3 linked regions of the Arabidopsis thaliana genome follow. The protein of the gene in region 2 interacts with the protein of the main gene of each other region in a pairwise test. Each region holds a gene or a part of one and is shown on either strand. Other genes may lie near its edges.

Evidence for each region.
Region 1: the proteins of AT3G24740 (region 2) and AT5G58720 interact in a two-hybrid assay, tested with the Arabidopsis thaliana proteins (one large-scale study listed by BioGRID).
Region 3: the proteins of AT3G24740 (region 2) and AT1G30860 interact in a two-hybrid assay, tested with the Arabidopsis thaliana proteins (one large-scale study listed by BioGRID).

Annotation. Positions count from the first base shown.
Region 1 is NC_003076.8:23,721,125-23,724,879, reverse strand, and holds the start of AT5G58720 (smr (Small MutS Related) domain-containing protein), read left to right. Parts: upstream 1-1,704; 5' UTR 1,705-1,905; coding exon 1,906-2,545; intron 2,546-2,734; coding exon 2,735-2,760; intron 2,761-2,884; coding exon 2,885-2,971; intron 2,972-3,067; coding exon 3,068-3,138; intron 3,139-3,459; coding exon 3,460-3,686; intron 3,687-3,755. Other genes in the region: Mik (pfkB-like carbohydrate kinase family protein), read left to right, coding at 1-440, 1,077-1,253.
Region 2 is NC_003074.8:9,029,247-9,033,001, forward strand, and holds the start of AT3G24740 (cellulose synthase, putative (DUF1644)), read left to right. Parts: upstream 1-1,831; 5' UTR 1,832-2,024; intron 2,025-2,028; exon of another isoform or gene 2,029-2,600; 5' UTR 2,601-2,818; exon of another isoform or gene 2,819-3,130; 5' UTR 3,131-3,150; coding exon 3,151-3,755. Other genes in the region: AT3G24715 (kinase superfamily with octicosapeptide/Phox/Bem1p domain-containing protein), read left to right, coding at 1-57, 148-270, 343-430, 512-702; AT3G24730 (mRNA splicing factor, thioredoxin-like U5 snRNP), read right to left, coding at 906-1,004, 1,100-1,166, 1,251-1,408, 1,493-1,648.
Region 3 is NC_003070.9:10,987,981-10,991,735, reverse strand, and holds the start of AT1G30860 (RING/U-box superfamily protein), read left to right. Parts: upstream 1-2,142; 5' UTR 2,143-2,489; coding exon 2,490-3,242; intron 3,243-3,341; coding exon 3,342-3,460; intron 3,461-3,547; coding exon 3,548-3,755. Other genes in the region: AT1G30870 (Peroxidase superfamily protein), read right to left, coding at 1-201.

The sequences.
Region 1 (3,755 bases), on a different chromosome or scaffold from region 2:
TGGTGGAGATCTGTGACGTTGTTGCTGTGGATATTCAAGCTTTGATTAGGGTTTTTGATCCTGTTGACGGAGCTGTGAAGCTTGTTGATTTGAAAGAAAGTGGATTTTATCACATCTTGCATCGAATTGGATTCTTGAAAGCTTCGTCAGACGAAGCTCTTTTCATGGATGTTGAACAAATGAAGCACTTGTGTTGTGTGGTGGTGACTAATGGTGAAAAAGGGTGTAGGATTTATCATAAGGATGATGAAATGACGGTTCCTCCGTTCTTGGCGAAGCAGGTGGATCCTACCGGTGCCGGAGACAGCTTTCTCGGAGGTTTGATTGTTGGGCTTGTTGAAGGTTTGACTGTTCCTGATGCTGCATTGTTAGGGAACCTCTTTGGTTCCATCACTGTAGAGCATATTGGTCAGCCAAAGTTCGATTTGATGATGCTTCAGGTTTGTTTTTTGGTCTCGTATTAGCTTACTGAATTGCATGCTGTGAGAGATTTGCAAATCTAATAGACAGTAGTAAGAACTTTTAGAGCCGATGATAGTGATATGCAAATGTCTTTAACATAATCCTAGCAAAAGAACTCTGTTACATCTTGCAGCTTACTTTCAATACAGCCAAACCTATATCTTGCGGGTGAACTAGAATCTGTATTTGATGTTGATAGGTTTCCAATCTGAAAATGTGTCAAATCTTCACAGTTGTTGTTTGAGATTCTGTCGAGTCACAGCTGCTGAGAGAGTCTTTTCTTGTTTTACTTCATTGTTAATCTAGGAGCAGTTTCATTCAACATAGGGTAGATGCAGGAAAAAGTGTTGTTTAAGCATTCACCGAACAATGTGGTTAAGCAATTAGAGAATTCAAAAGTATGGATCTCTTGATGTATTTGCGAGTGTTTCTGTGTATCTCTTGTAGTTGTATCTGTTGAAATGAGGGCGTTATTGGATAATAATTGAACCATTGGCTAGTGCAAGTGAACATTAAGCAAATTAGAAGATTTATAGCGTTTGTGTTTGCACTGCACAAGGATTCATCCCTTTCATCGGTTATTTCTATGTGACATATGTCTTTGTGATTTGCAGAAAGTCAAGGATGAGGTACAGAGAAGGAAGAAGCAGTGTAACATATCTAGCAGCCATAACAACGATCACAACGAGTTCCATGAGCGTCTAAGTCCAGCTCGGTTTTCATGCGTAGACTCTCAACTTCAACCAAAGTTATTGGTCAATGGTCACTCTTGTGATGATCGGTCCCTGTGAATACGAATCTTGAATCACCTTTTTTTTACTAACAAAGCTCTTCTGAGTTGTGTAAGCTTGCTTCAACACGTTGATGAATTTTGGAAATTTTAATGTATAAAACGCGTTGACCAGCGTCTTCAAACGCTCTTTCTGGTCGTTCCCGCAAAGTTTGTTTATCAACTCCGCGTTTCAAAATTCGAAATGAAGATGTCAAATTTTGTTTTAAAAGTTTTGGATAAGATGATTTGCTATTCGCATGTTGCCACATTATCTAGTTAATATAAAAACCAAAAACAAATCTGAGATAAAATTACGAAAGTCAACGTGGGAGATCTAATTTTGACTGGTGCATAGTTGAACCGGTTCAATATATGTACAATCAGGAGGAAACCGTGTTCGGTGTTTGATTCGTGCGCGTGGATTTAAAACGTGGTCACGATCAGGCGCGTGGATTGACGTGGCGATTCCGATTCCCAATCAAAAGTCTGGACGAGCAAAAAATTTCCTCTGATATTGGCATCTCCATTACTAACTCCTGATTTACGGTTAAAACGCCTCTTCCCTCTCTCCGACGCTTCTCGTCGGAAATCTGGGTTTAAGTTTCTTCTGCAGATCGGAAGAGATTCTATTGAAGCGGCGTTGACACGATTTCATCTATAATTGTACGATAATGAAGCAGAAGAACCAGCATAAGAAGAAGAAGAAGCGATCCTGCGCCGCGAAACCTTCCGGTGATGGAACGACGTCGGACGGGAACAAAAAAGATGTGGAGGAAGAGAGGAAGGACGGTGAAGGAAAGAGGGAGATAGAAAACGTTGGAAAAAATTTTATCGAATCGTTAATGGAAGCCTTTTGCTCGGTTTCAATGGAGGAAGCGATGGCTGCTTATAAGGAAGCAGGCGGAGATCTGAACAAAGCCGCTGAGATTTTATCGGATCTGGTGGAAAGCGGTGATGATCCGTCGACGAGTTCGGTGGCGAGTGGTTCTTCGGGTCAGGAAACAGCGTCTACCTCTGAGTATGGGGCAGGGTCAAGTTCTAGCTGTAGCGAAGATTTGACTAGAGATAGATGGTTTAAGGGAAGCAAGCAGAGTAGAGTTATTGCTGCTACAGGGATGGTTTCTTCTGTGATTGCGAAGGATTACTTGAAGCCAAACCCTGTGCGAAAAGAGTTTCCTATGATGGAACGGTCTAAAGAGCTCTGTGGGAACGGGAAAAAAGCTGCGGATAGAGAGAAAGCTGAACAGTTCTTAAGTTCAATGCTTGGAGATGATTGCGAGCTTAGCATGGCTGTTGTTAGAGATGTTTTGTGTGAGTATTTCTTCTTCTTAGTCAGTTAATTTTTCCATGGGAGAAGATGTTAGTAGAAAAGTATGATCCTTAATAGTTATAGGATTACGTTTTAATGTGTCCGCGATATTCGAAATATAGCCGTAATAATGTTATGAGGAGAGACTAGATTGTTCGATGAATTGACATGGAAGTATCTATTTTTTGTAGGTCAATGTGGCTATGATGTCGACATGGTAAGCAGAGATTGTCTTCAAACTTACATGGGGAAGTATTTAGTATATTGACAGGGAAGCTCCTGAAATATGCTGATACTTGCCCGACTATTTATTTTAAAGCTTAATAGCGTTTTCTTCTTAGGCTTTGAATGTCTTGCTTGACATGTCTTCTTCATCAACTGATGATTCATTGAGTGGTAAATGTTTCGGCATAGGAGTCAGCGATAGTGTAAGTGATTGTTTTTTTTGTTAATCTTCATAGATCTGTTTATTTTGTTTTCTTACACGATAAAATAAAGTGCAATCTCCTGACATTATTTAACAGCTGGCAGAGTCATCTTTTGATACTGATACTTCTGATTGTGAACTTTTCTGGGGTGGAGACTATAGTCAAAGGTACTTCTATTTGCTTCTTAGGCTTTCATCTTGTTATTGCAATTCACTGATTTTGGAATTATCAGAGTTGATTTACACGTTAGTTACAAGATAACGAGCTCTCTGCAACCTCTCCTTATCTTTTAATTAGTCCTTATCCTCTTCTATGAAAGAACAACAAACGAACTATTTCATGGTGGAGGATTCAGTTCATGAACACATGATATCTAAATTACTCATGAGACCGCCAAAACTTACATTATGATTTCTTAATTTCAACATTGTGGACGAGGTCAAAACTAAATATCTGGCCTTTTTTTCTTTTCTTTGTCTGAATGGTAGGGACTACGCAAAAGCTCTCATGAGTTCTCAAGATCCTTTTGCAACTACCCAAGGAATTGATGAGCTTGGTCTTCCACAAAAAGTGTTGGAGTCTCTGTTCAACATTCGCCAGAATCCTAAACATGAATCAAAGACAACGAGTTGGAGGAATGTGGCAAAGAAAATGCAGTCACTTGGCATTGATGCTTCTTCATCTAGTGGGGAAGAGCCTCACCCTAATACGTTTGGTACTTTACTATGGTTTCTTGATTTTAGTATTTGCGTATATAGCTGCAAATAGCATGCTCAATTTGCCA
Region 2 (3,755 bases):
CTCAAATGCGAAAACTTACTTGTCAATTTAAGGGATCCACAACGGCCTATATGCAAGGTAACATATATATTGATGAAGATCGTTTTCCCCTATAGACTGAGAATCCTGAGAAACTGCTACTTAAGTATGAAACTCTGATTTCTACAGGTGGGAGATCTTGGCTTATCTAGAATCAAACGTAACACTTTAGTATCTGGGGGAGTGAGAGGAACTCTTCCATGGATGGCCCCAGAACTCTTGAACGGAAGCAGCACCCGAGTTTCTGAGAAAGTAAACTAATCCAACCACTATCCTATTAGTTTCACTAACAACACAACTCACATTTGTTTTCGATCTGAACAGGTTGATGTTTTTTCATATGGAATCTCGCTGTGGGAGATTCTAACCGGAGAGGAACCCTATGCAGATATGCATTGTGGAGCAATCATTGGTAAGTCAAAAACCATCACTCACAATTTCACTTACCTCAAAACAAAAGCCACTCTATGCTCATTTATTTCCTCTTTTTAAGGCGGGATCGTGAAGAACACACTTCGACCTCCTATACCAAAAAGCTGTTCTCCGGAATGGAAAAAGCTGATGGAACAATGCTGGTCTGTCGACCCGGATTCTCGTCCTCCATTCACCGAAATAACATGCCGACTTCGGTCCATGTCAATGGAAGTCGTCACTAAAAGCAAAAGAAGAGAAAATAAACCCTGACTTCAAAACTTCAGAAATCAAGAAAACGACGGGTCAGTTCATCGACATTTTCACATCTATCGAAAAATCTGCATATTTATTCTCATTCTTCAACTTTGTACAAAAACATAACTGTAAATCTCAAAATGTCAAATGTAAATATTATTGCCAACACAGAAGATGAGAAACAGATTTTGCATTGTAAGCACAACAAACTTTAGTGTCTACACATCCTTGTACACGAGCTGGTACTTTGGTATCCTCTCTGGCGGTATTGGACATTGAACAATCATCTTCCCTTTCATTGCTCCTCGATATATAGCCTATACATAACACAATAACAAAAACAGAGTATTTAAATTAGTAACAACTCTTTAAAAGCTTTTAGGAATTAATGAAATTGAATTGTTCTTGTTACCTCAACAACATCAATAAAGTCTTGTTTTATATGAAATGCACCAACCCATTTAGTATGATCCGCAGTTCTACAATATAACCAAACCGGAATTAACATAAACCAACCTAAACCGGCTTTAATCAGCTACTAGAACAAGAGATTAATTAATTACCCAGAATCCAATTTCATATGATGCGCATTGAAGAAGAAGATCGTCGAAGGAAACAACGTGATATCAAAATACTTCACATACACTTGAACATCCTCTGAATCAACATCAACCAAAGCTACCTTAGCAAATTTCGAAACATCTCTCACCGATTTCGCAAGCTGAAAAGAAAAATTCGAAAACTTTAGGGGTTTTGATTAATCGAAATTAGAGAAATCGAATTCAAAGAGAGACGAATTGAATACGATTTCATCATGCTGAAGACAAACGGCGTCGGAGGAACGACCAAATCGTAAAACAAGAACTTCATCAATGGTGTCTCTGATAACCCGATCAATCTCTTCCTTCGTCGTTAACGTCTTCAGAAGATAACTCATCTCGGCGTAAGAATTATACGACATCGTTTAGATAATATAACTAAAGAGACATAAAATAAAATATACGACGTCGTTTGATAATAATATAATACAGTAACTAAAACAGACGGAAAATATACGACGTCGTTTTTTGGTAATAATATAATAACTAAAAGAGACACAGATTAAGCGACGTCGTTTGTGGTAATAATATAATAACTAAAGAGACGCAAGTGCAAATGTTTTTGTGATAAAAACCATAAAAATAAAAATAAGTGGAGAAATCAAAATCATCGATTCTCCTTTGTTTCGCCTAACCCAATTCCTAAATCTCAGCATCTTTCATCAATCCAATCTCTCAAATAAGCGAGAGAGAAACAAAGATTATCGAATCCTTGGAGACGAAAACATACTCCAATTTGTAATTTTCTCGTCTTTTTTTTTACCTGATTTTGTTATACGTTTGATCGAAATCATTTGCTCTGATGGATCTCTGTTTTGTTAACCCTTTTGAGATTTGGTAGATATGGTTTTGAGGATTGATATATTTGCCGCTGATTGTCGTTGAAAAATTGTGAAATTTGATTTGGTGGTTTAGGGTTAAAATGAAATTATATGATGAGGAATATAAGAATCTGATTTTTTTTTATTAGATTCTCCAGATGTTCTTGTTACTTGTGATTGAAACTTTGATTTTGGGTTGTTGTTGTTTTTGAACTTTGGGGATTTTAAAGTTGAATTTTTTTCTAATTTATGCCAAAACGGTCTTCTTCTATGGTTTTGTATTGAACTGATGATTTAGATTTGTTTAAATCTCGGCTTTTGTATATTGTAGTGGAAGATTGAATTTTTTATTTCTTGTCATTGGTTATAGGTTTTAGTTTATTATGATGATGCCACTAGTTGCATGATTACTAACTTGACAGTGGTTTATATGAACATATGTGATAATTTTCTTAAGTTTGATTCCTACTTCTCTTTTGGGATTGTTGTGCAGGTTTTAGGACATTTGGGTTACCCTGAGGCTTAAGGAGAATAGTGGTTTAGTTATTTATACTGAATTTTGTGTCATTCAGACTTTCCGAGGATTTTCTGTTTGGTACCGTTTGCCTCGTCTGTGTTTTCATTTGAGCTGCATCTTAAAGTGAAAGTTCAGTGCTTAAACAGTAATAAAGTAGTATTTCAACAGGCTGCTAATAAGATTGCTCCCTTTCGGTAAGTTTGTTTTCAGCCAACTATCTCTCTTTGTGAAGTTAACAATCCGTTGCTTCTTGTGATGGTTAAGATTCCTCTGGTATGCTTAGTTTCTGTGCTAGTTTCTAGACTATGATGAGTCAGTATAAGATATCTATTTCTTCTGTTTTTGGTGTATCTTCATTTGTTCTTGCTTTGGTTCTGCTGCTACATGATTGTTTTGAAGTTTTGATATTAAGCGATGGTTTTGGTCTTGCAATGTTCCCTTTTTGGCAAAAAAGTAGTATTTATAAACCTCATTCAGTGTTTCTAACTTTCTCGATGCGTGAGTAGCTTACACAGTGCTTAACAAGATGGCTGGTGTAAAGCGAAAATTAAGTACCGAGTCAGATGTTCATGCTCTTCACAAAGAACTGGATGAGGTTTCATGTCCTGTTTGCATGGATCACCCACATAATGCTGTTCTACTGCTGTGCAGCTCTCATGACAAAGGTTGCAGGTCCTACATCTGTGATACCAGTTACCGACATTCCAATTGCCTTGACCGGTTTAAGAAATTGCATTCTGAATCCGCAAATGACCCTACTCCCGAGGCGAACTTGGCTTCAAGGGAACATAATAACGAATCTCTATACGAGCATGGTACAGCCAGTCGAAGCAGTTTTCACCGTGAGTCTGGAAACCGAGGCTCTTCTTGGGATTCCGAATCACTGAGGAGGAGGAGGAGAGTTGAGGAAGAAGTTGAGTCAGAAGATATCACAAATTTGAAATGTCCTCTATGCCGGGGTACTGTTTTAGGATGGAAGGTTGTAGAAGAAGTAAGAACGTATCTTGATCATAAGAACCGAAGTTGCTCCCGAGAATCCTGCTCATTTACTGGCAACTACCAGGATCTGCGCCGCCATGCCAGGAGGACTCACCCAACAACTCGTCCTTCAGACACTGATCCATCAAGAGA
Region 3 (3,755 bases), on a different chromosome or scaffold from region 2:
AACGATTTTCTCAAAATCTGGACAAATCCTATCATAATAATTCAACGATAATAGGTTGTCCAAAGGGAACAATGACTTTGTATCATCATCGTCATCGCCTCCGTATCCTCCCGCTCCAGGTAAGTCTTTTCGGCCAGCCGATACCGGCCAAGCCACGAGAACTCCGAGTATGACAACGACTGAGACCACGGCCAACTTCATTATTTTGCTTTCTTGATATCTCTCTCAATTTGATTGGCTTTGATGAATTTGTTTGATGAGAGGTGTGTTGTGTAGTAATTTATATATACAATTGGGTTTGGAAACTAATGTGATGCTTTTACGTGGGAGGCACAACTTTAAGATTTGAATATTCGAGTGACTTGCCTGCATGTCGTATATAATGTTTATGATATATAATTTTTTTTTGATCAAATGATATATATTAATAGTATAATTTTAAAAAACCTTTTTACAAGAGAAAAAATGATATAATGATCTTTACATTACTGAAATCAGGGTTTTGACTTATTTGGATTAGATTAATTGTAAAATTTATTTGTCAACAACTTCCATTGATTTAATTTTGTTTGTTTTTTGGTCGGTTATGTGAGACTATTATTATTTTATTTTGTTGTCTACAATTAACATACGTATATATACACTGGATGATGACATCAAAGTATGTTTTCGAGTAATCCGTAAAGCAAAATGTGATATATCGAAATTAACAAATTTTTTGCACAATCATTAATAATGAATTTGCTCAGATCCTCTAACAAAAATAGCGATATTACCTCTGCACATTTTTTAGCACGGAAAAATAGGTCCATTAGAGACATGTTGACAAAAAAAAAAAAACAATTCACCATAGGCTACGTTTATTGAAAATTGATGCATCTCAACAAGTTTTCAAACGTTCAAATTTTGAGTTTTTTTGAACTATACAACAAATTCTCACTAGTCAAAACCTTAAACTTTTTCATATATTTTTCTAGTTTTTATAATTTATATTTCTTACAAATAATTGTAGAAAACTCAATTTTTGGGTCATGAAAATCGCCAACAGTGTGAAAAGAGGCCAACCAAAAGCAGTTGATTCTCTAGAACTCATTGTTAATAACTGAAATATATGTATGTAAACTAATATTTGCTAGAATTATAAAGGAGAAAAGAGTACAATCGAAGTCGGAACCAACGCCGGCCGGTCGGAAAAATCACAGAAGAAAAATCGTATCAATCGCTTTTTCAATCGTCCATCTTCTTTATCTACCGGATAATACTTCCTAATACTTAAACTTTAAGAAAAAAGATTGTCAGCTAGCTATACGAAGTGTGGAAGAATACATTATCACATATGCCGCAACTAATATAAACGATACCCAGTTACCTGAAATATATATACGAAATATATGTCGTATGTGCCAATATCATAGACACTAAGTCTCGATTAATCGGTCGTTTTACTCTATCGTTGACTAATCGTTAACTCATCGGGATCCGAAAATGATCGGTTGTGAACCTTATTATTGGTTTCAATTATCGTTATTTTGTATAGAGACTATTTTTTCTTAAATCGTTTTATAAGAGTCACAAATCACAACTCGTCCTAAGTTCTCTCTCTATTCGACTAACCCAAGCACGACATTGACCACTATGCCTGGGCCTATTGACCACACTACAATAAAATCGCACACTACATGAAACTTGGGTTGAACATCTAATTTTCTCTAATTAAATTATTTTTACTTTGCTTAAAAGTTTTTGTTCCTGTCAGTTATACAATTTAAAATTGTTTGTTATCTTTAGTTCTTCAATTTGATTTATGATGTGGCATAAAATCCAGAAAGTGCATGGTTCCCACTCGACAACGGCTAAATTCCTCAACGGCTCCTTTTTGACTCTAGCATATTTAGGAGCCTTAATTATTAAATAATTTAATCACCCTTTAATTAGTATAACAATCCAATGTTAATTTTTTCATGCATTACACAATTAAATGCTTTTACCAGTATAATGACATGTGTTATACAATATCTTTCAAATTCAATTTTGTCCAAAATTATAAGTAGCTTTTTTATTTTTCTATAACAATTTATCACTTTTGGCCACATAAGGCTTTTCTTTCTCTGTATTCTTACACCTCATTCTTTATTGCCTTGTTTTACAGACACGTTCCCCAGTTTAAGGGACAAAACAGAGCCATTTTAGGACTCTTAACATTTATAAGTCCTCTTACTAAATAGATAAGCACAAATACTGTTTGGTTCTGTTTTGCTTCTTCATCATCATCGTATCTCCACCGTTTGTTTGTTGTTGTTCTGTTTCTTTAACAGGAAAAAAAAACAGAGAGAAAAATCTGTCTCTTCACTAACACAAATCCATTTTCTCTTCTTCTTGTAGAGAGACAGAGAAAACAGAGTTGTCCTCTAACTTCTTTCGATCGATTCAAAAACTCTAATGATTATTTGATTTTATGTTCGTTTGTTCGATTCTTAGATCGTAAAAAAATGGTGTCTTCTCCTCAGAGATTCGGTTTAATCTTAAGAGATCGTAACCAAAACGCTGGCGTTTTTCAAAAGAATCTGAAATCTCCGGTGAAAGAGGTTTTGAAATCTCATGTCTCCGATGAGAATTTAGTTGATTCTTGGATCGAAACTCACAATAACAAGAACAATCGTGTTCTTGAATCTCCGTTAGAATCGAAGAGAAACGACAATCTTGTGGCTTCTTCTTTGGTTCAGATATGGGAGGCGAGGCTAAACCGATCCAACGGTGGAAACTCGCCGAGTAGCAGTCAATCTACGGCGAGTAGTAGTAGTCGGAGCGATTCAGGAGTTAGTGTTCAAGATTCCGGTCTTTCAGAATCTTCATCAATCGATGGAGATTCTGAAATTGCTGATCGAACGGTGGAGATTGAATCTAGGTCACATGGTTTGGTTTCTGATTCCGGAGAAAGTAAATGGGGACGAGTCGCTGACCTAATTCGGAGGCTTAGCAACGAAGACAAGAAACGAACCGCTGGAGATAATGGCAGCGGCGGTGGCGGTGGACTCGAGATTATCAGAACGCCGAGGCCTTATTGCACTTCGTCGTCATCGGAGAAAAGTAATTTTCCGGTGGTTAGTTTCTCTCCGAAGATACGAGGACGACAAGCGTTTACCGATTTTCTTATGCAAATGGAACGTGATCGCCACCGTGAATTGGATTCGCTTTTTGAACGCAACGCAGTTTCTAGGTTTACTCAACGTGGTCGTCTCCAGGTAAATTATATTTTCACTATTTTGATAAAAATAACTAACATATTTGTGACTTTATTCATAATCCACTAAATGGTTTTTCTAATTACATTATTTAACCAGTCAATGCTAAGGTTAAGGAACCTCAATCGCTGTCTTGTGATTCAAGATAGAAACCGGTCTAACGCAAAAACAACCGGATTAAACCGAATTGAATCAGGCTCTGCTGTTCTGCATTTAAGGTTTTTTCAGATTCTCTGTTTTATGTTTTGAGTTTAGTTCTTAGGGTTTACTTTCTTCAGATTTTCAATCTTTGATTGGCAACGCAGGGAGAAATTTCATGCGAACGTAGTAAACTCTGCGGCTGCAACAGATAAGAGGAAGAATCATCAACGATCCACTGAGATGAACAACAAATCCGTAGAAGAAACAGAAGGAACTACTACCACAAGCACGAGGTTAAAGGATGGTGGTGTTACTCTCGAAGCTTTTTTCGCAGAGCGGTTGAGACCCCGTAACCGCAAGATAGAGGAAGCA